Ovis aries: one gene and its partners. The protein of the gene in region 3 binds, or shares a complex with, the protein of the main gene of each other region. Links are inferred from orthologs where the notes say so. Each region holds a gene or a part of one and is shown on either strand. Other genes may lie near its edges.

Region 1 (4,779 bases), on a different chromosome or scaffold from region 3:
AAGAAGTTTGTGCCTTTTTAGTTTAAGATGATATTAGGTTTTCTGGGGGTTAAGAATGAGTTCAGGTTTGGGGAATTATTCAGTGGCCAGTGAGTGGCACAGCCAAAAAACCTCCAGGGGCCTGCGGAATCTGGAAATTCTAAGGTAATGGTTCTGTGGCCATGAAGCATCTATTTACAATATTTAAGTGGGGATGAAACCCTGGTGTCTAATGACTAGCTGACCTAGCATCTCTCAAGGCAGCCCTGGGCTTCGTGAGAAGCCGGTATCCCTTCTGGCCTGTGTAGCCTGTCATGTCAGAGCATTCTAAGTCAGTCAGAGGACAAGGCTGCTGCTGAGATGTGGTGGAGCCTGTGAATCTAGAATTTTCTGTGTATACCTCCAGTTCACTCAGCATCTCCCATTCAGCATCTCTTAGAATGTAACAGTAAACTTTAATGATTCCTTACAATGAAGGATAGAAAAACAAATTTAGGCTGCATCTGTTTTCTGAGTGAGGTGTTAGACTGCACCTTTTCTCTCTTTTTAAGGAGAAAACGGTTCCCTCTACTTGGTCATCCCTCTTCGGCAGAGGTTCCTTTGAACACTCAGGTTCCACCAGTCCCTGGAGTCTCTTCTGTGGTCTGTTACAGTCTTACAGGTACTGTCTTTGGAGACGGGACCTTGGTCATTGTGGGCAAAGGTGGGGCTTGTGTCTTCCTCCAAGAAGGCGGTCATATGTCCCCAAAATATCTTCAGGGGTGACCATTTTATATCGGTTGAGATGACCAGCTTGAATCTCAAACCCATTCTGATGTTCTGATCCCACTGTTGTATATGGCACCACTTTTCTTTTTATTACTATTATTTCTAACGCTAAGTAGACAGGGGCAGCACTGGGGACTCTGCTACTTTTTAAAGTCACCCTCCACTGCCCTTGTCTTTGTAAGTGATAGACTAAGTGATAGGCCGGTCCCCTTCGCTATCTTATGAGTCTGTAAAATGGGGATCAGGAACTTCGTGCCCCCAGGGCCTGTGAGGACCGGCTAATGAGGGCAGAGAGTGGGAAAACGGAAAGTCTGAAACAATGATCTGTCATTCCATGCAGCTTGCAAAGAGGATACAACGTAAAGCTCAGCTGGGTCTTTGGAGCAGGTCTGCAAAAGGCTTTGAAGAAGGAAAAGTGCCGCGGAGATGCTAAGTAGCGGCCAAGAGACCAGGCCCGCTGCCAGGGGGGGTCAGGCCTGGGCCGAGGCGGCCGCGGTCTCGGGCTCAGGCCAATTTTGCAGCCGCGAGTAAAGTTCACGCTGCCCGCGGCGCGAAGGGGACCGACCTGGATAGGGAGGCCAGGAGGGAGGCGGCGCGCAGGCTCCGGAGAGGCGCGAGCTCCGGGCCGGGTTTTCCCCGAAGCCTTCGGCGGCGGCGCTGCCGAGCGAGAGCGGCAGAGCGCTTGCCGCCGCCGCCGCCGCCGCCGCGGCTGGTTCTCTCCCCTCCTCCTTTGTGAGGGGAAGGGAGCGAGTCCGTTCCACGGCCTGCGCCCCGCTCCGCGCTCCGTTCCGGGTTTGCCAGGCGGCCGCGACGGCGCTGGGTAAAATGGCAGTGCTGAGCCTCGTGTCGGAGTGAGGGGGACTCGGAGGAGAGTGGGGCGCTCTAGCCGCTCAGTCCGGCCGCCCGCCCGCTCGCCCGCTCGCCGCCGCGCAGCAGCCTCGGCCCGGCGCCGCGGCCGGGGAGGGGAGGCAGGGCGCCCGGCCCGGCCCACGCTCCGACTCTGCCTGCCGGCGCCCGGGCTGCTGCCGCGCGCCCTCCAGCCCGCCCGTCCCGGGTCCCCCTCCCCCCGCTCCCTCCCTCCCTCCCCGCCCCCTCCCCCTCGCCTCCCTCCCTCCCCTCCCTCCCTCCCTCCTTTCTCCGGCAGCAGAAAGCGGAGAGTCACAGCGGGGCCAGGCCCTGGGGAGCGGAGCCTCCACCGCCCCCCTCATTCCCAGGCAAGGGCTTGGGGGGGAATGAGCCGGGAGAGCCGGGTCCCGAGCTTACAGAGCCGGGAGCAGCTGAGCCGCCGGCGCCTCGGCCGCCGCCGCCGCCTCCTCCTCCTCCGCCGCCGCCGCCAGCCCGGAGCCTGAGCCGGCGGGGCGGGGGGGAGAGGAGCGAGCGAGCGAGCGAGCGAGCGAGCGCAGCGCAAAAGCCGCGGAGCCCCGCGAGGCCCGCCCGGGCGGGTGGGGAGGGAAGCCCGGGGGGACTCGGCCCCGGGGCGGGGTGGGGTGGGAGGGGGGTGAGAGAAGACGAAGACAGGGCCGGGTCTCTCCGCGGACGAGACAGCGGGGATCATGGCCGCGCAGGTCGCCCCCGCCGCCGCCAGCAGCCTGGGCAATCCGCCGCCGCCGCCCTCGGAGCTGAAGAAAGCGGAGCAGCAGCAGCAGCAGCAGCGGGAGGAGGCGGGGGGCGAGGCGGCGGCGGCGGTCGCGGCGGAGCGCGGGGAAATGAAGGCAGCCGCCGGGCAGGAAAGCGAGGGCCCCGCCGTGGGGCCGCCGCAGCCACTGGGAAAGGAGCTGCAGGACGGGGCCGAGAGCAATGGGGGTGGCGGCGGCGGCGGAGCCGGCGGGCCCGGCGCGGAGCCGGACCTGAAGAACTCGAACGGGAACGCGGGCCCTAGGCCCGCCCTGAACAATAACCTCACGGAGCCGCCCGGCGGCGGTGGCGGCGGCAGCAGCGACGGGGTGGGGGCGCCTCCTCACTCAGCCGCGGCCGCCTTGCCGCCCCCAGCCTACGGCTTCGGGCAACCCTACGGCCGGAGCCCGTCTGCCGTCGCCGCCGCCGCGGCCGCCGTCTTCCACCAACAACATGGCGGACAACAAAGCCCTGGCCTGGCAGCGCTGCAGAGCGGCGGCGGCGGCGGGGGCCTGGAGCCCTACGCGGGGCCCCAGCAGAACTCGCACGACCACGGCTTCCCCAACCACCAGTACAACTCCTACTACCCCAACCGCAGCGCCTACCCCCCGCCCCCCCAGGCCTACGCGCTGAGCTCCCCGAGAGGTGGCACTCCGGGCTCCGGCGCGGCGGCGGCGGCGGCCGCCGGCTCCAAGCCGCCTCCCTCCTCCAGCGCCTCCGCCTCCTCGTCGTCTTCGTCCTTCGCTCAGCAGCGCTTCGGGGCCATGGGGGGAGGCGGCCCCTCAGCGGCCGCAGGGGGAACCCCCCAGCCCACCGCCACCCCCACCCTCAACCAACTGCTCACGTCGCCCAGCTCGGCCCGGGGCTACCAGGGCTACCCCGGGGGCGACTACGGCGGCGGGCCCCAGGACGGGGGCGCCGGCAAGGGCCCGGCGGACATGGCCTCTCAGTGCTGGGGGGCTGCTGCTGCTGCGGCGGCGGCGGCCGCGGCCGCCTCGGGAGGGGCCCAACAAAGGAGCCACCACGCGCCCATGAGCCCTGGGAGCAGCGGCGGCGGGGGGCAGCCGCTCGCCCGGACCCCGCAGGTAACACGGCTGGTGGGGTAGGGGGGGCTGTGGCGAGTGGGGCGGGGGGGTCCTGGGAGTGGATGGCGGCGGCGGGGAGCGGGCCACGGCCGTGGGCTACCCCCAGTCTGGGGCCCCCACTGCTGGGGAGCTGCCATTGTCTCGCTCTTTCTCTCTTAAAATGGCTGCCCGTCTGCCTTCCTCTCTTTCCCTCCTTCAGCCTTTGTGTGGGGCTTTCCTTGAGGTGTCTGCTCCCCTCCTCCTCCTCCCCGGGTCCCTTCCAGCTCCGGGGGGTCTTCAGAGGGGTGCGGAGCCGGGTGTGCGGGAAAAGGGCCCGGCCCGGGGTGAGGGGGTGTTGGGGGCTCAGGTTAGGGGTGTAGGCAGCCCTCGGAGGTCGGGAGTTGAGTGAACAGTTCTTTGCTCACCTGCCGCTCCTCTCTGCCCTCCCTACCTTCCTCTAGGCCGGTCCCCATCTGTGCTTTCAAGGAGGGGGCCCCTCGGGCTCGGGGGGACCTCGAGGGAGGGCAGGGGCCTGCTTGGGAGCAGCTAGAGCCCGGCTTCGGTTCACCCTGGGCAGCCCAGGTCGTCTCCTGTCTTAGTCTCCGTCGGCCCAGTGGCCTGGGCTTCTCCCTGGAAGTGCTGGTAAACAGCTGAGTGATTGGAGTAGTAAGTGCAGATTGCTTTGGTTTGGGATTTGAATTATGGAGGTAAAATCCTTCTGTCAAAGCCAGGAGACAGTTGGTCTTAGGTTGACATCCTATCTGTGATCTGATTGGCTCCCCATCTCCTGCTCTTGGCCATTTATAATTGCCTCTGATGTAATGGTACAACAATCCTGATGAGCTCATAAACTTTTACACTCTGCTTTTCTGCCAGTGATAACCCAAACCATCGCTGCCACTATCTGCCTTTTATTCCAGAGCTGAAATTGGCTGTGACCTTGAGGAGGGAGATTTAAGCAGCAATACTGTATCAGCAGGAGCAGAGCCCCAGACAGGCTGCCCTTGTTACATTGTGCCCGGAACAAAAGAGGAGGCAGTGGGATTTTGCTTGTACCTTGGATTTATTTTGCTTGTTATGTTTTATGCAGCCTGAAATAGATTCTGTGTTGTCCGAACAGTAGCTGAGTTTTTCTCTACAATGGGTTTGCTGTTTGTTTTGGTTTTGTGACTTTCCTGATGGTATAAATGACTTCTTTGATGGCTCTGAAGATGCGTTTGTCTTGAGTAATTTTGACCCTGTTCGCTTTGCAGAATTGAAATTATTTTACTGAGCTTTTTATTGAGTGGCAAATGTGGGATCTTTATCAGAGGGGGTAAGAGAAAACTTTGAGAACTGGAGGCTTTCTGAGAGA
Region 2 (4,273 bases), on a different chromosome or scaffold from region 3:
GGGACCTTGTGTGGGGCAGTGAACACTCCTGGCTGAGTCCATCACATGAAGGAGAGAGCTAGGCCAGTAGCCTCCTGTTGCTGGGCAGTGAGAACTGCTGTGTGGCGGTGGGGCTGCAGGCAAGCCACCAGTGGGCTCCACTGTCAGGAGGCGCCTGCCCAGCGCCCAGCCAGCCCCCCGGAGGGGTGGCACGCCCCCTCCCCCACACTAGCCAGGTCAGGCAGGGCCTGGATGCCCCCCGGGGCTCTTGGACAGACCTCTCTGCAGTGGAAGGGAGGCTGAGTGGTGGGACTCAGATGCCCGGACCCCGCGTGGCGCTGCATCGCCCCGCTCGCATGCTGCGACATGACTTGCATTGTCCACGTGAGGCCATCAGGCAGGAGGGGTCAGCCGGGCAGACTCGGCCTAGATACAAGAGGCTGCTGCAAGAGGGGAGCTGCCCTCGGGGGACCTGGGTGACAGCTCTGGCTGGAGACTCAATGGGGAAAAGTGTGATGGTCCACGCCCATGCTGCCCACATGGGCCCAGCGTGCCAGCTTCGCCCGTGGAAGTTACAAAGGATCCGACCTCGCAGGCGACCCCTGGAGACGGGAGGCACCTGATCTGAGTGGGCACCTTTTCCCTCTTGGCCTGCAGGCCCGGAGTAGAAACTTTGAGCCAGATGGCCTGTGGCGGGGACCCCGTCTCGCCGCCTCAGCTCTTGGTCCTGCCCACGTTAGCCCCGGGCCCTGTTTCCCCAGGTCTCTCGTGTCAGGGCAGGGCAGGAGATTCGGGGGGGTCCTGGCTTCCTTCGGTGTGTGGCTCCCCCCACCCCACCCCAAGGGGTGCTCCTGGGCCCAGGCGCTGGGGTACGAGGGGCCCCCGCTGCAGAGAGGAGTGAAAAGGCCACCGCCTCTCCCCCCGCCCCCCATCCTGGAAGGCTGCTGTCCTAGCGGGAAACTGAGCGGACGTCACCGATGGTGACACGCTGTGGGACAGGGCTGCAGAGGTGAGTTGTGCAGTCGCTGGGCTGATTGCTCCCTGGGCCACCGGGGACGTGGCCCAGGGGTGACGAGCGGTCTCGCAGACGGACAGCCCAGCCCGGGAGCCTCAGCTCAAAATGCCTTTGTTATTTTCCTCATAGTAAACGCCCCCTGTAAATTGGAGAGAAGGGCTCCCCCTGTGGGACGCGAGTTCCTTGAGTTACTTTGAGTCCCGCTTTCTAGAGTATCTTCCAACCCCTGAAGGCCGGGAGGCCAGAGGCGTTAGTTGTCTCAGGCTGGACTATGCATCTGAAACAACAGCCTGATCGAAAGTGTGCAAACCCCCGGGGACTCTCAGCCGCCCGCTGAGGGCAGGGCCCCCCCCAGGTCAGGACCCTCTCTGTGTCTCCAGTCCTGGCCCCCTGCCCAACCATTGACCCGAGCCTCCTCTCTGCTGCCCTCGGGGCTCTCCTGGAAATCTGCCCCCCACTCCCCTGTGAACCCTGACCTTCTTTCCTGAGTGCCCAGCCCAGCATACAGCACAGAGTGACAGCTCGTGGACTGGGCTGGGGCCCCCTGCCCTCTCCTCCCCTAAAACTGGTGACCCCGAGCAGGTGCCACTCGGAGCCTGGAGAATCGCCACCGCGGAGCTGGGCGCACAGAGGTCCGCACGGGGGCCTGGGCCCAGCAGGGGCGCAGCGGGCGTCCACTGGCCACGACCTGGTGGCTAGGGGCAGCTTCTGGCCCATAGGCTGAGCAGATGGGTGTCCTTGTCTCCCAGGGAACAGAAGGCCAAGAGGAACAGCCAGTGGGTACCCACCCTGCCCAACAGCTCGCACCACCTAGATGCCGTGCCCTGCTCCACCACCATCAACAGGAACCGCATGGGCCGCGACAAGAAGCGGACCTTCCCACTCTGGTGAGGGGCCTCGGCCGTGTGGCCTCCCGCCTGCGGGCTGTTTCCCGCTGTTTGCTTGTCGGCGGCGCCCCTGCGTCCTTGGAAAGCAGTTATCACCCCTGGGTCTGGGGGGGTGGCACGCCTGTTTTCCTTGCCCCGCACCGCCCCCGTCTCTTCCCTCTTCCCCATTCTAAAGGGCAGGCGTGAGCGCGGAGCTGCCTTGCTCTCCGTGCTCTGGGGCTCCCTCGGGGTCCAGGCTGCAGGCACGGAGCCCTGGGCACTTGGCCACCGAGGCTCCCCAGGGTCCCCCCCACCCCGGCCCGGTCAGCACCCCTCCTTCCCTGCTCCGCCAGCCGCTCCTCGACCCTCCTGCCCCTCGGCCTTTGTTCCAGGGTTTCTTCTTCTGGACATACCCTTTCTTCCCCAGAGCTGCTGGGAGAATCCTGCCTGCTCTGGGGCTTAAACCTCTCTTCCTGGGGGGAACATCTGAGCTTGTCCCGCTGCCCAAGTTGGCAGCTCCCCTCCCACCCTGAGTGGACCCCCACCGGCCCTGTCTCTGCCGGCTCAGCCCTTAGTGGACAGGTCCTCTCTGGGCAGGTCTCAGTGACCAGTGGTGCAGAGAGGGAAGCCCTGGGCACAGGGACACAGCCCGCTTTGCTGAGCATGCGGCCGCTTCCCTTCCAGCTTCGACGACCACGACCCAGCTGTGATCCACGAGAATGCGTCCCAGCCCGAGGTGCTGGTCCCCATCCGATTGGACATGGAGATTGACGGGCAGAAGCTGCGGGACGCCTTTACCTGGAACATGAATGGTCCGTCCGCCGCCCTGGCTGGCGTGCACTGAGCTCTGTCTGCCTGGTGTTGGGGGGGGGGGTCCTGTCGTCACCCAGGGGTGGGTGGCAGAGGAGGCAGGGCTGGGGGAGGCCAGGGCTGAGCGACCTGACCTTAGGCCCCGTGGTCCACCAGTGGTTCCCCACCTCCGTCTTCGTTTCAGAGAAGCTGATGACCCCGGAGATGTTCTCAGAGATTCTCTGTGACGACCTGGATCTGAACCCACTGACATTCGTGCCGGCCATTGCCTCCGCCATCAGACAGCAGATCGAGTCCTACCCCACGGACAGCATCCTGGAAGACCAGTCAGACCAGCGCGTCATTATCAAGGTAGGCGGCTCCTCACCCGCAGCAGGCCTGCCTTGTCCTCGGGGCTTGCGAGGTGCGGAGGTGCGTGGAGGCCTCGACAGGAGCTTGTCTGGGGTCTGTGTTGTGGGGCAGGGCTCTGGAAGGCTGTCTGGAAGGCAGCTTGTCCCAGGAGGGGCACGGGCCGACTTCTGAGGAGGGCATCACGTTCTGGGCGCGTCCAGGTGCTGCTGCGGCCTTGCCAGGCGTGGAGCGGAAGCTGGGTGGTCCCAGGGGTGACCCAGCTGACGGGCAGAGCAGGGAAGGGCACAGCGAGGCGGGCACACTGCCACTCTTGTTGTGGGCAGGCTGGGCCAGGCACACCTCCTGCTGTCTCAGCAACCCCCGCAGTCCTGGGGGCCGTCACGAGAAAAGAGGGGGCCACCTGCCCCGAGCCCCCCTCAAGAAGGGCTGCCTGGTGGTGAACAGCATCTCCCTGTGGTTCCGATTTGCGTTTCCCTGTTGATTTGTTTTTGTTCAGTGGCTCAGTCCTGTTGGGGATGCATGGACTGCGGCACGCCAGGCCTCCCTGCCCTTCACCGTCTCCCGGAGCTTGCCCAAACTCACGTCCATTGAGTCAGTGATGCCATCCAACCATCTCATCCTCTGTCGTCCCCTTCTCCTCCTGCCTTCAATCTTTCCCAGCATCAGGGTCTTTTCCAATGAGTCAGTTCTTCGAATCAGGTGGACAAAGTATTGTAGCTTCAGCATCAGTCCTTCAGTGAATATTCAGGACTGGTCTCCTTTAGAATGGACTGGTTGGATCTCCTTGCAGTCCAAGGGACTCTCAAGAGTGTTCTCCAACACCACAGTTCAAAAGCATCAATTCTTTGGTGCTCAGCTTTCCTTATGGTCCAGCCCTCACATCCCCACACGGCCACTGGAAGCCCACGGCCTTGGGTACGGACCTTTGTGGGCCTCCCTCGCTGCTGCGGGGCCCTGCTGGCCGTCTGCTTATCTTCTGCGTCTGCTGCAGTCCTTCCCATTTTGAGTCCGGGCTTTGTTGTTTTCTTGTTGTTTCATCAGTTCCCTGTATCTTATAGAGAGCGATCGTTTCCAGATCCTGTGATGTGCAGACGTTTTCTTCCACGGGTTGCCTTTTTATGTTGTCGATAGTGTCTTTTGATGCATAGAAGTTTTTTATTTTGGTGAAGTCCAGTTTATGTTTTCGCTTATCACCTATGCCTTTGACGTCATATCTGAGAAATCACTGCGAAATCCAGCGTCATGAAGCTTT
Region 3 (4,793 bases):
ATCATTCAATGACAACCAAAAGGAGAGGTGCAGGCCATGAATAGGATCACTTCTCATCCAGTGTCTTCCTTTAATTCTCACTTCAGCATTTTGAAAGATGAAGAAATGAGGCACTGAGAGAGAGGTTAAGTAAGGGGTTGTTCCAGTTCATCCAGACCACAGTTTATAGAGGCGGATGACTGACCCTAGGCTCACTTTGGACTATTTCAGTTTCCCAGCTCCTGAGTCAGCTCTCTCCTACAGCTCACCCCTCCCACCGAAGCCTCCAGTAGTGGGAGCCAGGTCCGGACTCAGAACAAACCCTGGGAATGTGAAATGCCACTGTCACCAGTGGATAACGGATGAGCCAGTTCAAACCATCTGTCCTCTGGCTGAGGAAGGGTGGCGCCCTTACAGAGTGAGTACCTGGTAACTAGAGAACTTCAGGGGCATTCAGTCACCACACAGAATCCTCTTCCTCTGCTATTGCTGGCCTTAATGCTCCACTCACCCCTAAACAAGTAGGTGGGAGTGCTCCCAACACAAGCATGTATTCATATGCACATATGTACACACAGATGCATGTGCACAAGAGCTTCCTTGGTAGCTCTGGTGGTAAAGAATCTGCCTGCAATGCAGGGGACCCAGGTTTAATCCCTGGGTCCGGAAGATCCCCTGGAGAAGGGAATGGCAACCCACTCCAGTATTCTTGCCTGGAGAATCCCATGGACAGAGGAACCTAGAGGGCTACAGTCCATGGAGCCACAAAGAGTTGGACATGACTGAGAATGGCCAACAACACATGCATGTGCTCACATATGCTGACACACTCAAACACAAACATACAGACACACACCTACACACATGCTCACATAAGAGTCTCTCAGCTGAGCCAGGCTGTCAGAACTGCTCCTTCCCCTTCTCTGTCAAAACTGCTGTGGAGGTGGCCTCATACTGGAAGCCCAGAAGGACTTAGTAGCCTACTAGGGGAAAACGTACTTGCTTGATAAATAACTCCTGAGAAAAACAGATGAAAGAGAGGTGAATGTTAGCTGAGAGCCACGTGTGTACATGTGTGTATGTATGAGGCCAACAGGGACCAGCTAGGAGAAGAGGGGCCATCAGAAAGACAAGGATGGAAAGAAACAGGGAGAAAATGGAGACACACCCCTCCCGTACCTCTCCCTCCCTTCTTCCCTTCCCTTGTCTCCCCGAGGTTTCATTCAGTCCTGGGTAAGGCAGAACCTTGCTCAGGAGCCTGAGAATGGCCACGTCTCCAAGAGTATGGCGCCCTCTCCTAGATCTCATTTTTAAAAGTAAGGGAGCAAGGGCGCCTTCAATCAGCCCGCAGGTCTTCGAATGGACAAGGAATCTCTTGTGTAGTCCTGCTCTCTTCCAGCCTGTCCCTTAGAACCACCCTCCAGGTCTTCGCTCCCCTCAATCCCCTCCCCGCCACCTAAGGTTGAGGTGGCTGGCCCTTTAAAGCAGCGGCCCCCGGCCGGGTTATTGTCTCGCCTCTCAGCCAATCGGCGGCGCCGTTGGGGGCGGGGGACCTGGCCTCCCGATTGGCCGTCCCGAGCCCCGCCCCGCCCGGGATCCCGGGAGCTGTCCGGCGGCCTCGGTGCTGATCCTGCCGCCGCCCACGGGCCGCGAGCAGCGCTGAGAGGGCACTATGAGCGGGGGCGTCTACGGCGGAGGTGAGCGAGCCTCGGACTTCGGGATCTCCAGCCTGGCGCGGCCTCGCCCGAATCCCAGCGCCCCGAACCCATGCAACCCAAGCTCTGGGCACCCTGGGGCCTGTCACCTCTGCGCTCGAGCGGTTCCAGCCCCGGGTTTGGGTCCTGCATCATTCCAACCTTCGACCCTCCTCGGAATGCTTGCGCGTACCCGGCCCAACCTCTCCACCATTCAACCCGTCTCCGCCCGGCCTCTAGCCAGGCAAGGAACAGGGCCACTGGGCAGAAAGGGACTTCGGAGTCTTGATCTCCCACTCCCAGGACCCTGAACTCCTGGCCGAGCTCCCATCTGACCCTTCCGGGTTGAAGGTGGCTCTGCCGGGATCTCCTCTCGGAGCAATCCATGGAGAGTTTGGGAGATAACCCCTCACAAGTTTGTCTCCCGCACAGATGAGGTGGGGGCGCTGGTCTTTGACATTGGCTCCTTCTCAGTCCGCGCTGGGTACGCTGGGGAGGACTGCCCCAAGGTGAGCCTTCCAGCCCTCTGCCCAAATCCTAGGGCTCCCCTCCAGGCTTCCCAGTCATCCAGGGCTCTCAGCGCCCAGAGAAAAGCTCTGATGAGCGGGAATGTGGGAGTAAACCCAGGGGGTGGGCTGAGGGCCCTGCAAGATATGGCTTTCTCTCCTGTCCATGCCCCGCTCCAGGCTGACTTCCCCACCACGGTGGGGCTGCTGGCCGCGGAGGAGGGGGGCGGGCTGGAGTTGGAGGGGGAGAAAGAGAAGAAAGGGAAAATCTTTCACATCGACACCAACGCCCTCCACGTGCCTCGAGATGGAGCAGAAGTCATGTCTCCCCTCAAGAATGGCATGAGTATGGGGCCCCCACTACCGGCTCCTGACACAGACCCAGAACCCACACCCCACAACCCGGGGCACAGGACCCCACATTCACGGAGTAGTCCTTGCAGCTGCCCAAGTCCCAGGGATGCCCTCACTACTTCCCAAAGCTGCCTGGTTTCTCACAAGGGTCCACCAGATTCCTGGGAAAGGGGGGATTTCTGCTGGACGTTGTCTCACTTCCCCTCCCCTGGACTTGGCTTCCCTCCTTCCTTTCTGTTTCTGGACCCCTGCCTGCCCACCCTCATCTCTCCACTGATGTCCTGGCCCCAGTTGAGGACTGGGAGTGCTTCCGTGCAATCCTGGATCACACCTACAGCAAGCATGTCAAGTCTGAGCCAAACCTGCACCCAGTGCTCATGTCAGAGGCCCCGGTAAGTGCATAGTCCAGTCCCTAGTACAGCCCTGGAGTGGGCCATTCACCTCTCCTCAAGCCACTCCTCTCCTCAAGAGGAGTGATTACTCCTCTTTCTTTGCTTTTCAAACTTTCCTTCCAACTCTGTCAAGTTCAACCACTTTCCTTCCTCCCTGGGTTAGTCTCCATGCCTCCTTCTCTTCTGCTCTCTCCACTTGCCTTTCTGCCAGTCATCCTTACACGATGCCCCACCCCCCAAGTCCCCGTGTGACCTTTTAACTGAAATTTTTGGTCAATGTTATATACACCTATATAGAATCAATTTTATTTATAAACTGCCATGCATAGCCTCTTCCTTCTATTATCCCTTTTCCAGAGACAATTGCTTTTCTCTCTTTTAGCTTTTATTTTGCCATTACCTTTTATATCTCTAAATATCATAAATCACTGACTGTGAATTTTTCTAGCTCTAGGTATTATCTATGGGTTTCCCACTATAGAAAATGAGCGCTTAGCTCTCTTTCCTCCCCAACCCACACCATACACATTTTTTTCTTATTTGAAGTACTGTTGCAGTTTAGGGTTTTGGGGTTTTTTTTTTTAAGATTCAGTATTTATACTCTTATTATTATATATGCTAATCAGGCCTGAGACAGGCAATAAACTATTTATTTTCCTCTCTTGTGCAATTATTTGTTTTCTCTAGCACTGAAAATTTTCTTTGTTTCTGTTTTTCTTCATTTTCTATCTACTTAGTAATGTGACCTGAAATTATTCATCAGTTATCTTTATCTTTCCTCAAGACATTAATTGCTTTAGGTGTTCTATCAATTTCATCTCCAAGAAATCTCTCCGGGAGCCTACCAACCTGCTCTGCTGTAGACTAGTTAGCTTCTCTGCAGAAGATGTAGCTATAATCCTGACATCTCCCTTCACCTTCATCTTAAGAAAACACTGCACCTCTCTCCTGTATTACAAGTCCTGTTTCCAGTGGATCATGACTCTTTTCTTGATTTTTTCCCCCTTGTTTTCATGGAGCACATCTTCCAGTAATTGCTTTAGAAAGGACATAAGAAGTAACATTTTTGAGACTTTGCGTGTCTAACCTTGGATGTATAGTTTAGCTAGGTATAACACTCCAGGTTGGAAATAATTTTTCTTTGGAATTTTTTATTAAAAAATTATTTACTTGGCTGTGCTAGGTCTTAGTTGTGCCACATGGAATCTTCAGTCTTTGTTGTGACATGCATTTACCAGAGATTGAACCCAGGCCCCCTGCATTGGGAGTGCAGAGTCTTAGCCACTGGACCACCAGGGAAATCCCTTTTTATGGAATCTTGAAGGTACTTCTTCAATTCTTCCAACATCTACTGTTGCCATTAAGAAAGGCAAGGTCATTTACTTCCTGATCCTTTGATGTAAATTATTTTTGTTTCTGACAGTTTATAAAATTTTCACTTTGTCCTCAGTGTTTTACAGTTTCACAATATTATATTGGTTTATTTTTTTTTCATGGCTCTGGACACTCAATGTGTCTCTTTAATTTGGACACTTATGTCTTTCAATTCAATTAAAAATTTAATTACTTATTTGCTGATTTATTTCTTTCAATTTTCTCTGTTCTCTCTTAGGAAATCCTATTATTTGAATTTTATACGTCCTAAACTGGTCTTCTTCTAATGTTTTCATCTTTTATATTTTATGTATCTCTTTCTTCTAATTTCCAAGATATTCCCTTAATTTCTTTTTCAACTCTTCTATAAAGCTTTTAATTTCTGCTCCTCTATTTTTATTTTCCAGGAGCTCTTTCCTGTCCCATGAATGTTACTTTTTACTCATCTTTAAAAAATATGTATCAGTTTGGCTGTGTCAGGTCTTAGTTGTAGC
Region 4 (4,273 bases), on a different chromosome or scaffold from region 3:
TAAATATAACAAAAAAGAGTTTAAAAAAATTCATTTAACATAATACTATACATTTCAAATGATAACCCAGTAAATAAACATGACTAAATGAAATATATTATTATTCCAAGGAAATATTTAATTGAGAATTTACAAGTGATTTTGCACAAGAATCCCATAGTTGCAGATATTACAAGTACACAAATATTGTTACAAATACAGAGACATAAAAGAAAGGGAAAATATACAGCTGGGCTGTTTAGGACAAAAAGTATTACCTTCCCAGATCACATAATCCAGAGGGTGAGCTTCAGGTGTGCAGAAACAGCCACTTCTGACATTTTAGTATCAAATATAAAATTAGAAAAATGAAATACCAAGAATTAGAACATCAGTATAAACCAAATGGGTGCATAAAAGTAAATGTTCGTAAATCTGGGAGTATGAAATAGCACATGTGTTTGTGATGAACACATGTTTGCTTAAGAAATCTATTAAAATTACCTTGGCAGAAAAGTTCAAGAAATCTTAAGTCAAGAAAGCGGATCATTCTGAGAGAATGCTAGTAACTGGCCATTAATTTAGAAGGCTCTCAAATGTAAAGTGCACACACCGCTGGGTCCAATGACGTGTGACCAACCTTGTATTTTTCAACACACATCATGTATGTGCTCTACCTCCATATGATTTAGTTTTAATAAAGCCATACATTGGTCATTTATATTTTGACAAGGAAATGTAGGCATCTATGTAATGAGGAGGGGGGCTCTATAATATTACAGTTGGAACTTTAAACTCAGTGTAGCCATTCAATGAACTTGTACCCTTTTTGAAAAAAAAAGAAAAAATGACATGAGAGGTCATTGGAGTCTTGCCTTCTGGGATTCAACGCTTATATTGATAAAGTAAAAAAGATTTTTATTCTGTTTTTGTTTTTCAAGTATATAAAAGGGGGAGTTTGGGCCCTTTAGTTAAAGTAAATTTTTAATTAAGCAAATGTATACTTTGTGCCTGAACTAGTAGCCTTCATTCCTGATTGTTGTGTGATAGCAGTAGTTTTAAAATTTCTTCTCTTCTTGTATTTGGTAGCTCATTACTTTTTTTCTCGCCTTCTTCCATTTCCCTTGGCCCACTTATGCCCCATCTCCAAATGCTACCCTGGGCTCTAGAAGTCCAGCTCATCCACCACCACTGGGGAAAAGATCACAAAGGTGTATGAGCTGGGGAATGAGCCAGAGAGGAAGCTGTGGGTGGACCGCTACCTCACCTTCATGGAGGAGAGGGGCTCCCCGGTCTCAAGTCTGCCTGCGGTGGGCAAGAAGCCCTTGGACCTGTTCCGACTCTATGTCTGCGTCAAAGAGATCGGAGGTTTGGCACAGGTGAGAAAAGATGAATGAGGAGATGCTATGGATGAGCTTTGAATATGCAAACTTGAATTTTTTTTTCTCACAAAGAAAAAGCTGAGCCTCTGGGAAGGTCACTTCACTGGATCCATGTTCACGTGTGGCAGGTCGGGGGCGGGGGCTGCCCTGGGGTCAGGGACCTCGATCTGCCACCCATTCGCAGAGTGACTTCAGTAGGTCATTTATGTGGACTCAATCCTCAACGGTAAAATGAGACATTTGAGCTAGGTTTTGCTTTAGGGTCCCTAACAGCTCTAGAATTCTGTGGAATCTGTGTTAGAATTTCATAGTAAACAGAAATGTTTTGCAAATGACTAAATTGTCTGGATCAGATATAAATCAAATTCACTGTTTCCCTCTATCCAGAGCAAGTTAACAAGAAAACTGTCATCCTTCTACAACCATGTCCGCTGTACCTGGATGACAGGAGGGGCAATGCTGTCCTTTCCCACAGCTGGGGGCACCCAGGTGCAGAGTGCCCGGAGGCACTCCTATGGGGTAGTGCAGATGCCTCTCCTGCACTTGCCCCTTCATTCTGTACCCTAGGGGCCGCATTCTCCTTTCCCTGTCACAGCCCTGTTTTTAGCCCTGGGAAGGGTTTGTGTGTCCATATCCCGAAGTAGCATGGAGAAAAGGGCCTTCAAGGGTGAGTGCCTGCCGCATCCTGGGCACCATCCTTTTTCTTGTCACTTCTCTCTCAACACCCATGGAATGCAGAGTCATCAGCCCTGAAGAAGAGATGTAACAGATTGAAGTACAGTCGTCCCCTGGGGTCCACAGAGCACTGGTTCCAGGATCCCCACAAATACTGAAACCCTGTGAGCTCGAGCCTCTTTATTTCTGGAACCTACACACCACCTCCCATATACTTCAGATCATCTCTCAGTTACTTATAATACCCAATACAGTGTAATGCTATGTAAACAGTTGCTGGTACAAGTTCAAGTTTTGCTTTTTGGAACTTTCTTTTGGGCGAGGTGGGGGGGGGGGCTTTTTTTTTCTTTTTCAGTACTTTCAATTCACAATTCGTTGAATTCAGAAATACAGAACCAGGGAACAGGGAAGGCCGACTGTACAAGAATGTTGTGGCCCAGGGACTCTCAGGGTAGGTGGTGGGGCCAAGTTTGTTTGATTGCGAAGCGCATGCCCTTTATCTGCCCTTGGTTCTCCGACCTAGCTGTTCATTAGCAGCACCTGGGAGCATTTAAAACCTGTCAGTTCCTGGGCTCCTTCCCAGACTAGTGAAAGGAGCTGCTCCGGGCCTCAGGTGTTCCAGGCCTCACTATCCAAAGGTAGGTCAGCTGATGCACAGGTATCACTGAGGACCCACCCTGGTATCTGGGCTGCAGGGCTTGCAGGAGAGGCTTTTGTTCTCAGCCCTCCCTGAGGAGCCTCCTCCTACCCGAGACTGAGGCCTCCAAGTAAAGCAATTAGAGCTTGACTCCAGAAGGCGTAATCAGATGGGGTCACAGGATGCAGACCAGGTGTGACCAGGTGTGGGTGATGGCCAGCGAAGGGTTTCACCCAGCTCACAGAAGCAAGGAACCATCAGGACACCTCACTCAGCCAAGTGGACTCCCAGGTTGGGTCTTAGCTGATGAAGTTGCTTGAATGTAGTAGTGATTCCCAGCGGTGAGGCCTTGGCCGCATTGTCACTCACACCCCATCAGATGTGGTTCAAACAGGTGCTGCAGCCCCAGAGGGATCAGCTAAAAGCCTTGCTTTTCAGGGTGTCCCAGGCAGCACTCTGCCTGTGATTTCAGAAGCAGTCACAGGCCTGCCCGTTGCAGCCTGGCATTCAGTACCAAAAATGGCACTAAGCATTCTCGAGAGTATTCTCTGGTTTCTCACGCACCATTTAATACTAAGTAAATGGACATAAAGAGCTTTGTGAGGAAGTTTGAATCCAAAAATTGAACATTTCATTCAAACTCACTGTCCCTTTAACTCATGCTACTTAATACAGGACACATCTAAAGGCAAAATATTCCCCAAGCATTTGCAGGCCTTCATGTTTCCTTCGTGTGTCAGCCTCGTGTGACCTGTTCCCATTGGGAATCAGAAAGTTAAACCAATTGCTCAAATTTTATATAACATTTGAGGATTCCCTTCCTTTCTTCTCTTTTTGCAGTTGTATTCCCTCCAGCCTGAGTGCAAGTGGGAACACTGGATGGTCCTATGTGCCCCTTCCGAAGCCCACTGGTGCTGCCATGTCAGCTAGCTGGTGGCTCCACAGCTCAGACAGGGTTGATGACTTCTGCTGGACTGTTAGGTTGGGCTCATTTGGTTGGGGCCTCCTTCACCCAACACTACAAGAAAGCCTCACGTGAAAGACTGGGCATGAACAGAAATTATGAGGCTCATCTTTCTGGAAGCTTGTGGCTGTTGGAAGGAGACATTGTTTTTCTTATTAAGGCTCAGATACTTAAATTGCAAAATAATTCTGTTATTGCTTTTTAAATTAGTTTTTAGACACCCTTTTATAAAAAAAATAAGAGTGAGATGGGGGTGAGCAAGAGCACCTTTGCTCAGAGATAAATCGCCGGCTCCGGGCTGCACCCGCTCTGGCAGACTCGGAGGCATTAGAAGATGCACCGGGCAGAAGAATCTCCGTGAGCAAAGCTTTTTATGTAGCTATCAGCAGGTTCCTTAATGGTTTTATAACTGTAAATGCTGTCTAGGCACTACTGAGTGGGAGTAATGAACATTAGTTAAAAGAGGCAAATGAAAAATAATAAAAGTATCCAAGATATTAAATGCTTTTTTTTGTTTCCTGGCTTTAAATAAGCCACTTTGCTGCAAACCAGTGATCCTGCCTTTTTTTTTTTTTTTTTTTTTGGCTAGGTTAATAAAAACAAGAAGTGGCGTGAGCTGGCAACCAACCTAAATGT
Region 5 (4,242 bases), on a different chromosome or scaffold from region 3:
TGGACATCCAGGAGGCTCTGAAGCGGCCCATGAAGGTGCCTTGGGTTGGGGGTGGGGTGAGGGCGCCAAGTCCTAGTCCCTGAAAGGGAGAAGCCAGGGCTGGCCCCCTGGGAACTGGCTCTGTATGACACTGTTTATCTCTACAGCAAAAGCGCAAGCTGCGTCTTTATATCTCCAATACTTTTAACCCTGCGAAGCCCGATGCCGAGGATTCTGACGGCAGCATCGCCTCCTGGGAGCTGCGGGTGGAGGGGAAGCTCCTGGATGACGTACGTCCTGGCCCAGGTCTCTCCAGGTGTCCTGGGGTGGGTATGGGGCTGAGCTGAGGCCGGTACTGGATGTGTACACCGAGGGCTGGGGAAGTCAGCCCTGGCTGCGGGAGGGTGGTCCAGAGAGACGTGCCCAGGCCTGCTTCTGACTGTGTGGCCCTACCCGGCCAGCCCCCACCCGCTCCCAACTCACTCTGCCACCGTGGGCCCTGTTCCGCGCCCACGGTCCGTGCCTCTCCCACAGCCCAGCAAGCAGAAGCGGAAGTTCTCTTCCTTCTTCAAGAGCTTGGTCATTGAGCTGGACAAAGACCTTTATGGCCCTGACAACCACCTCGTGGAGGTAAGAAAGGCCCAGACCCCTCCTGCCCTCGAACTGGCCACAGGCCACTGTCCTAAAGAACCTAGAATGCAGTCCCGTTCGTGGTGTAGACCTGGGTCGGGGACCCCCTCCGCCAGGCCCCCAGTCCTGCACCCAGAGCTCCAAGGCCCCACCAGCTCAGACGGGCCTGTGAGGTGACTCAGCTCCTACCCCTGGACAGTGGCACCGGACACCCACCACTCAGGAGACGGATGGGTTCCAGGTGAAGAGGCCGGGGGACCTGAGTGTGCGTTGCACGCTGCTCCTCATGCTGGACTACCAGGTGCGTGCCCTCACTCCCAGACACCGCTCCCCCCAGCATCCCGCCTCCTGTACCCTTCTCCTAGCTGGGGTGGGTCATGGCTTGCAAGCTGTATGCCCTGAGAGACCCCGTTCTCCCCTCCACCCTGCCTGCTCCAGAAGCTTGTTTCCAAGGAGCCTAGGCCCCGCAGCCCCCGAGTCCTGAGTCCCTAGCCCCTCCCGCTCTCTTTTTGTCTCATTTTCTCATGGCCTCCTTGGCTCAGCCTCCCCAGTTCAAACTGGATCCCCGCCTGGCCCGGCTGCTGGGCTTGCACACGCAGAGCCGCTCGGCCATCGTCCAGGCCCTGTGGCAATACGTGAAGACCAACCGGCTGCAGGACTCCCACGACAAGGAGTACATCAACGGCGACAAGTATTTCCAGCAGGTACCCTCTCCCCTGAGCCTGGGGCCACGGGGAGGGGAAGGGCCTCTGCTCGGGACCACCACCCTGCCTCCTTGACTCCGTCGGGAATGATCTCAAGCCGGAGACCGGGGTTCCCATCTGGGCTCTGTCACACCGCCCTGTGCTGCAGCCCGCCTGTCTCAGCACCCCCAGCCCCCAGGTGAGGCCGATTGGGAACCCCAGGAAGCTAGTGGCTCTGGGGAACATGTTCTTGGCACCTGGAGCTAGGGCCCCCAGGTTCTGGCCCTGGAGCCAGTCACTGGGTCCGTCATTTAGCTGTTTGCAGCCTTGTTCCTTATCTTCGCCACGCCTGTCCCGTCTTACCCACTGGGCAGTTAGGAGAATCAAACTGCTGTGGAAGTGATACTGCCAAACTAGAGGTTATTATTAATATAACTTTAAAATAAATACCACAGGTAGCCTTGAGTGGTGAAAACAACAGTCAGTGTTTATTGAGCACTCACCACATGCCAGGCGCTGCTTCAGGCACTTCGTGTGTAACTGACGCATTTAATTCTAACAAGCCCCCTGAGATCAGTGCCCCTGCCTTCGGCTCCCAGAGATGGAGAGACTGAGGCCGACTGTGAAGTTGAGCGGCTCGGGGTTGCGCCGTGGGCGGAGGAAGCAGGCCTCAGGCCCAGGCCGGCCCCCGCCTCCTCATTGAGAGCTGGCTGCTTGGGGGGCCTTTTGAGAATGAAGGCTCTTTTGAGTGCAGAGCAGGGAACCTCTTTTCTCCTACTGCAGATTTTTGACTGTCCCCGGCTGAAGTTTTCTGAGATTCCCCAGCGCCTCACAGCCCTTCTGCTGCCCCCTGACCCGATTGTCATCAACCATGTCATCAGGTGAGGCCCCCCCCATCCCTGCTTCTCAGAGCTGGGAGTCACTATGGTGGTCCCGCCGCCCCATCCCTCCCTCTGCCCACCCCCCACATCAGGCCTCGGAGGCCCTTGGCCTCCATCGGGGCAGCATGGACACAAGGGCTGGCCTTCCCTGGCAGCGTGGACCCGTCGGACCAGAAGAAGACGGCGTGCTATGACATTGACGTGGAGGTGGAGGAGCCCCTGAAGGGGCAGATGAGCAGCTTCCTGCTGTCCACGGCCAACCAGCAGGAGATCAGCGCTCTGGACAGTAAGGTGGGGCTGGAGCCCAGCGCTGCAACAGGATGGGGACCCAACGGTGACAAACGCACAGACACAGCAGGACAAGGACGTGGGAGAGGACGGGAGGGCCCTGCCCTTGGGACCTGGAGCTCCGCCCGAGCCCCCTTCCCGGGGACTGCCCTTCCAGGGGACAGCCGAGAGCCCCCTGCCACGCCCCCTCCCCGCCTCTCCCACCTCAGCCTGGGCAGGCGAGAGCACGTGTCTTTCTACCTGCAGATCCACGAGACGATTGAGTCTATTAACCAGCTCAAGATCCAGAGGGACTTCATGCTGAGCTTCTCCAGAGACCCCAAGGGCTACATCCAGGACCTCCTCCGCTCCCAGAGCCGGGACCTTAAGGTGAAGGGAACCTCGGGGAGCGCTGGGTAGAGACAAGCATGCCGGGGAGACAGTGAATGTCATGCGGGGGTGTCCAGGCTCAGGATGACCCTGTTGCTCCCTCCCAGGTGATGACAGACGTGGCGGGCAACCCCGAGGAGGAGCGCCGGGCTGAGTTCTACCACCAGCCTTGGTCCCAGGAGGCCGTCAGCCGCTACTTCTACTGCAAGGTGTGAGGCCCGAGCCCCCGCCCCTCCGGCTCCCTGCTCACCCCCAGAGAAACCCCCCAGCCTCCCCCTCAACACGTGGGGCCGTGCCTGCTCCCAGATGCTCCTCCAGGTGGGTGGGGCCCGTCCCGTCACTCACCAGCAACTCGTCACCTGTGCCTGCTCTCCTTTCCTTACAGATCCAGCAGCGCAGGCAGGAGCTGGAGCAGTCGCTGGTCGTGCGCAACACCTAGGCGCGTGGGGGAAGCGTGCCGCAGAGGGCCACTCGGCCCTGCCCCGGCCCGTCCCCTCGGGCCTGGCTGTCACCCCCGACACCTTGTGGGCGAGGCAGGGGCTGGATTAAAGGTCATTTACCTGATAACAGCCGTGTGGTCATTGGCAACTGGGGCGAGAGGAGGATTGAGGGGGGCAGGAAAAGGGCAGTGGGCCCCTCCGGGAAGCTCCCCACCCCCTCCCTCAGAGTCTCCTTACTCCCATTTTTCCTAGACCTAAAAACAGTTTGGCAGAAGACACTTTTAATAACATTTTCTTATTGAAAAAAAAAAAACACAGCGGCGAGCTCTCCCATCTGTCCATGCATCTTGCCTGCCTCCCCAGGCGGGGCCCGGCAGGGGCTGTGTGTGGAGGTGCGGGGCCCCGAGCACACTAGGTGCTGTTGGCCTGCTCCTGCTCGAACAGGGCCATGGCCAGCTGCGCACGGGCCCCCAGCCCCTCCAGGTTGCTGAGGCGGCAGCGGTGGTAGAGTTCCTCGCTGAGCCTAGGGCTGCAGTCCCGCAGGGAGAACTTCTGCACCAGCCCTGGCTCCACGGCCCGGAAAAGGTGGAGCCCTGAGAACCGGAGGAAAACATCCATCACCTCCAGCCCCTCCAGGGCTTCCTCCTCTTCCTGGCCTGCCAGGTCGGCGGCCAGCCGGGCTCGGGCAGCCAGGTAGTCCGCATTGTAGAAGCAGCCCTCTGCCGAAGCCTGCCGGTCAAACCTGCCCCCTCCGGCAGCCCCCCGGGCAGGGTCCGCACCCGGAGGGGAAGGGGGGTCGGGGCCGGCCCCCGAGGGCGGTCTCTGTGGTGCCAGGGCGGGGTTGAACTCCTGGAAGTGGACCGGGAAGAAGGCCTGCCAGCCGGAGATGGCGTTCATGCGGCAGCGGTTGAGGACCTCGGGCCCTGGCCTGGTCCACACGGTGGCGAGGAAGAAGAGCGTGTCCACGGGGTG

Evidence for each region.
Region 1: ACTL6B (region 3) and ARID1A share a complex: the UniProt entries of both Homo sapiens proteins name them as parts of the neuron-specific chromatin remodeling complex. The link is inferred for Ovis aries from reciprocal best matches to the Homo sapiens genes ACTL6B and ARID1A.
Region 2: ACTL6B (region 3) and SMARCB1 share a complex: the UniProt entries of both Homo sapiens proteins name them as parts of the BAF complex. The link is inferred for Ovis aries from reciprocal best matches to the Homo sapiens genes ACTL6B and SMARCB1.
Region 4: ACTL6B (region 3) and ARID1B share a complex: the UniProt entries of both Homo sapiens proteins name them as parts of the neuron-specific chromatin remodeling complex. The link is inferred for Ovis aries from reciprocal best matches to the Homo sapiens genes ACTL6B and ARID1B.
Region 5: ACTL6B (region 3) and SMARCD3 share a complex: the UniProt entries of both Homo sapiens proteins name them as parts of the BAF complex. The link is inferred for Ovis aries from reciprocal best matches to the Homo sapiens genes ACTL6B and SMARCD3.

Annotation. Positions count from the first base shown.
Region 1 is NC_056055.1:240,200,831-240,205,609, reverse strand, and holds the start of ARID1A (AT-rich interactive domain-containing protein 1A), read left to right. Parts: upstream 1-1,537; 5' UTR 1,538-2,300; coding exon 2,301-3,446; intron 3,447-4,779. UniProt on the Homo sapiens protein: Involved in transcriptional activation and repression of select genes by chromatin remodeling (alteration of DNA-nucleosome topology).
Region 2 is NC_056070.1:71,294,722-71,298,994, forward strand, and holds part of SMARCB1 (SWI/SNF-related matrix-associated actin-dependent regulator of chromatin subfamily B member 1), read left to right. Parts: intron 1-1,743; coding exon 1,744-1,881; intron 1,882-2,544; coding exon 2,545-2,672; intron 2,673-2,854; coding exon 2,855-3,021; intron 3,022-4,273.
Region 3 is NC_056077.1:36,353,441-36,358,233, forward strand, and holds the start of ACTL6B (actin-like protein 6B), read left to right. Parts: upstream 1-1,567; 5' UTR 1,568-1,651; coding exon 1,652-1,676; intron 1,677-2,105; coding exon 2,106-2,525; intron 2,526-2,824; coding exon 2,825-2,925; intron 2,926-4,793. UniProt on the Homo sapiens protein: Involved in transcriptional activation and repression of select genes by chromatin remodeling (alteration of DNA-nucleosome topology).
Region 4 is NC_056061.1:81,557,177-81,561,449, forward strand, and holds part of ARID1B (AT-rich interactive domain-containing protein 1B), read left to right. Parts: intron 1-1,148; coding exon 1,149-1,358; intron 1,359-4,226; coding exon 4,227-4,273. UniProt on the Homo sapiens protein: Involved in transcriptional activation and repression of select genes by chromatin remodeling (alteration of DNA-nucleosome topology).
Region 5 is NC_056057.1:115,430,661-115,434,902, reverse strand, and holds the end of SMARCD3 (SWI/SNF-related matrix-associated actin-dependent regulator of chromatin subfamily D member 3), read left to right. Parts: coding exon 1-35; intron 36-146; coding exon 147-269; intron 270-513; coding exon 514-609; intron 610-808; coding exon 809-910; intron 911-1,151; coding exon 1,152-1,313; intron 1,314-1,758; exon of another isoform or gene 1,759-2,075; coding exon 2,076-2,173; exon of another isoform or gene 2,174-2,328; coding exon 2,329-2,464; exon of another isoform or gene 2,465-2,483; intron 2,484-2,701; exon of another isoform or gene 2,702-2,707; coding exon 2,708-2,830; exon of another isoform or gene 2,831-2,937; coding exon 2,938-3,039; exon of another isoform or gene 3,040-3,215; coding exon 3,216-3,269; 3' UTR 3,270-3,397; downstream 3,398-4,242. Other genes in the region: CHPF2 (chondroitin sulfate glucuronyltransferase), read right to left, coding at 3,682-4,242. UniProt on the Homo sapiens protein: Involved in transcriptional activation and repression of select genes by chromatin remodeling (alteration of DNA-nucleosome topology).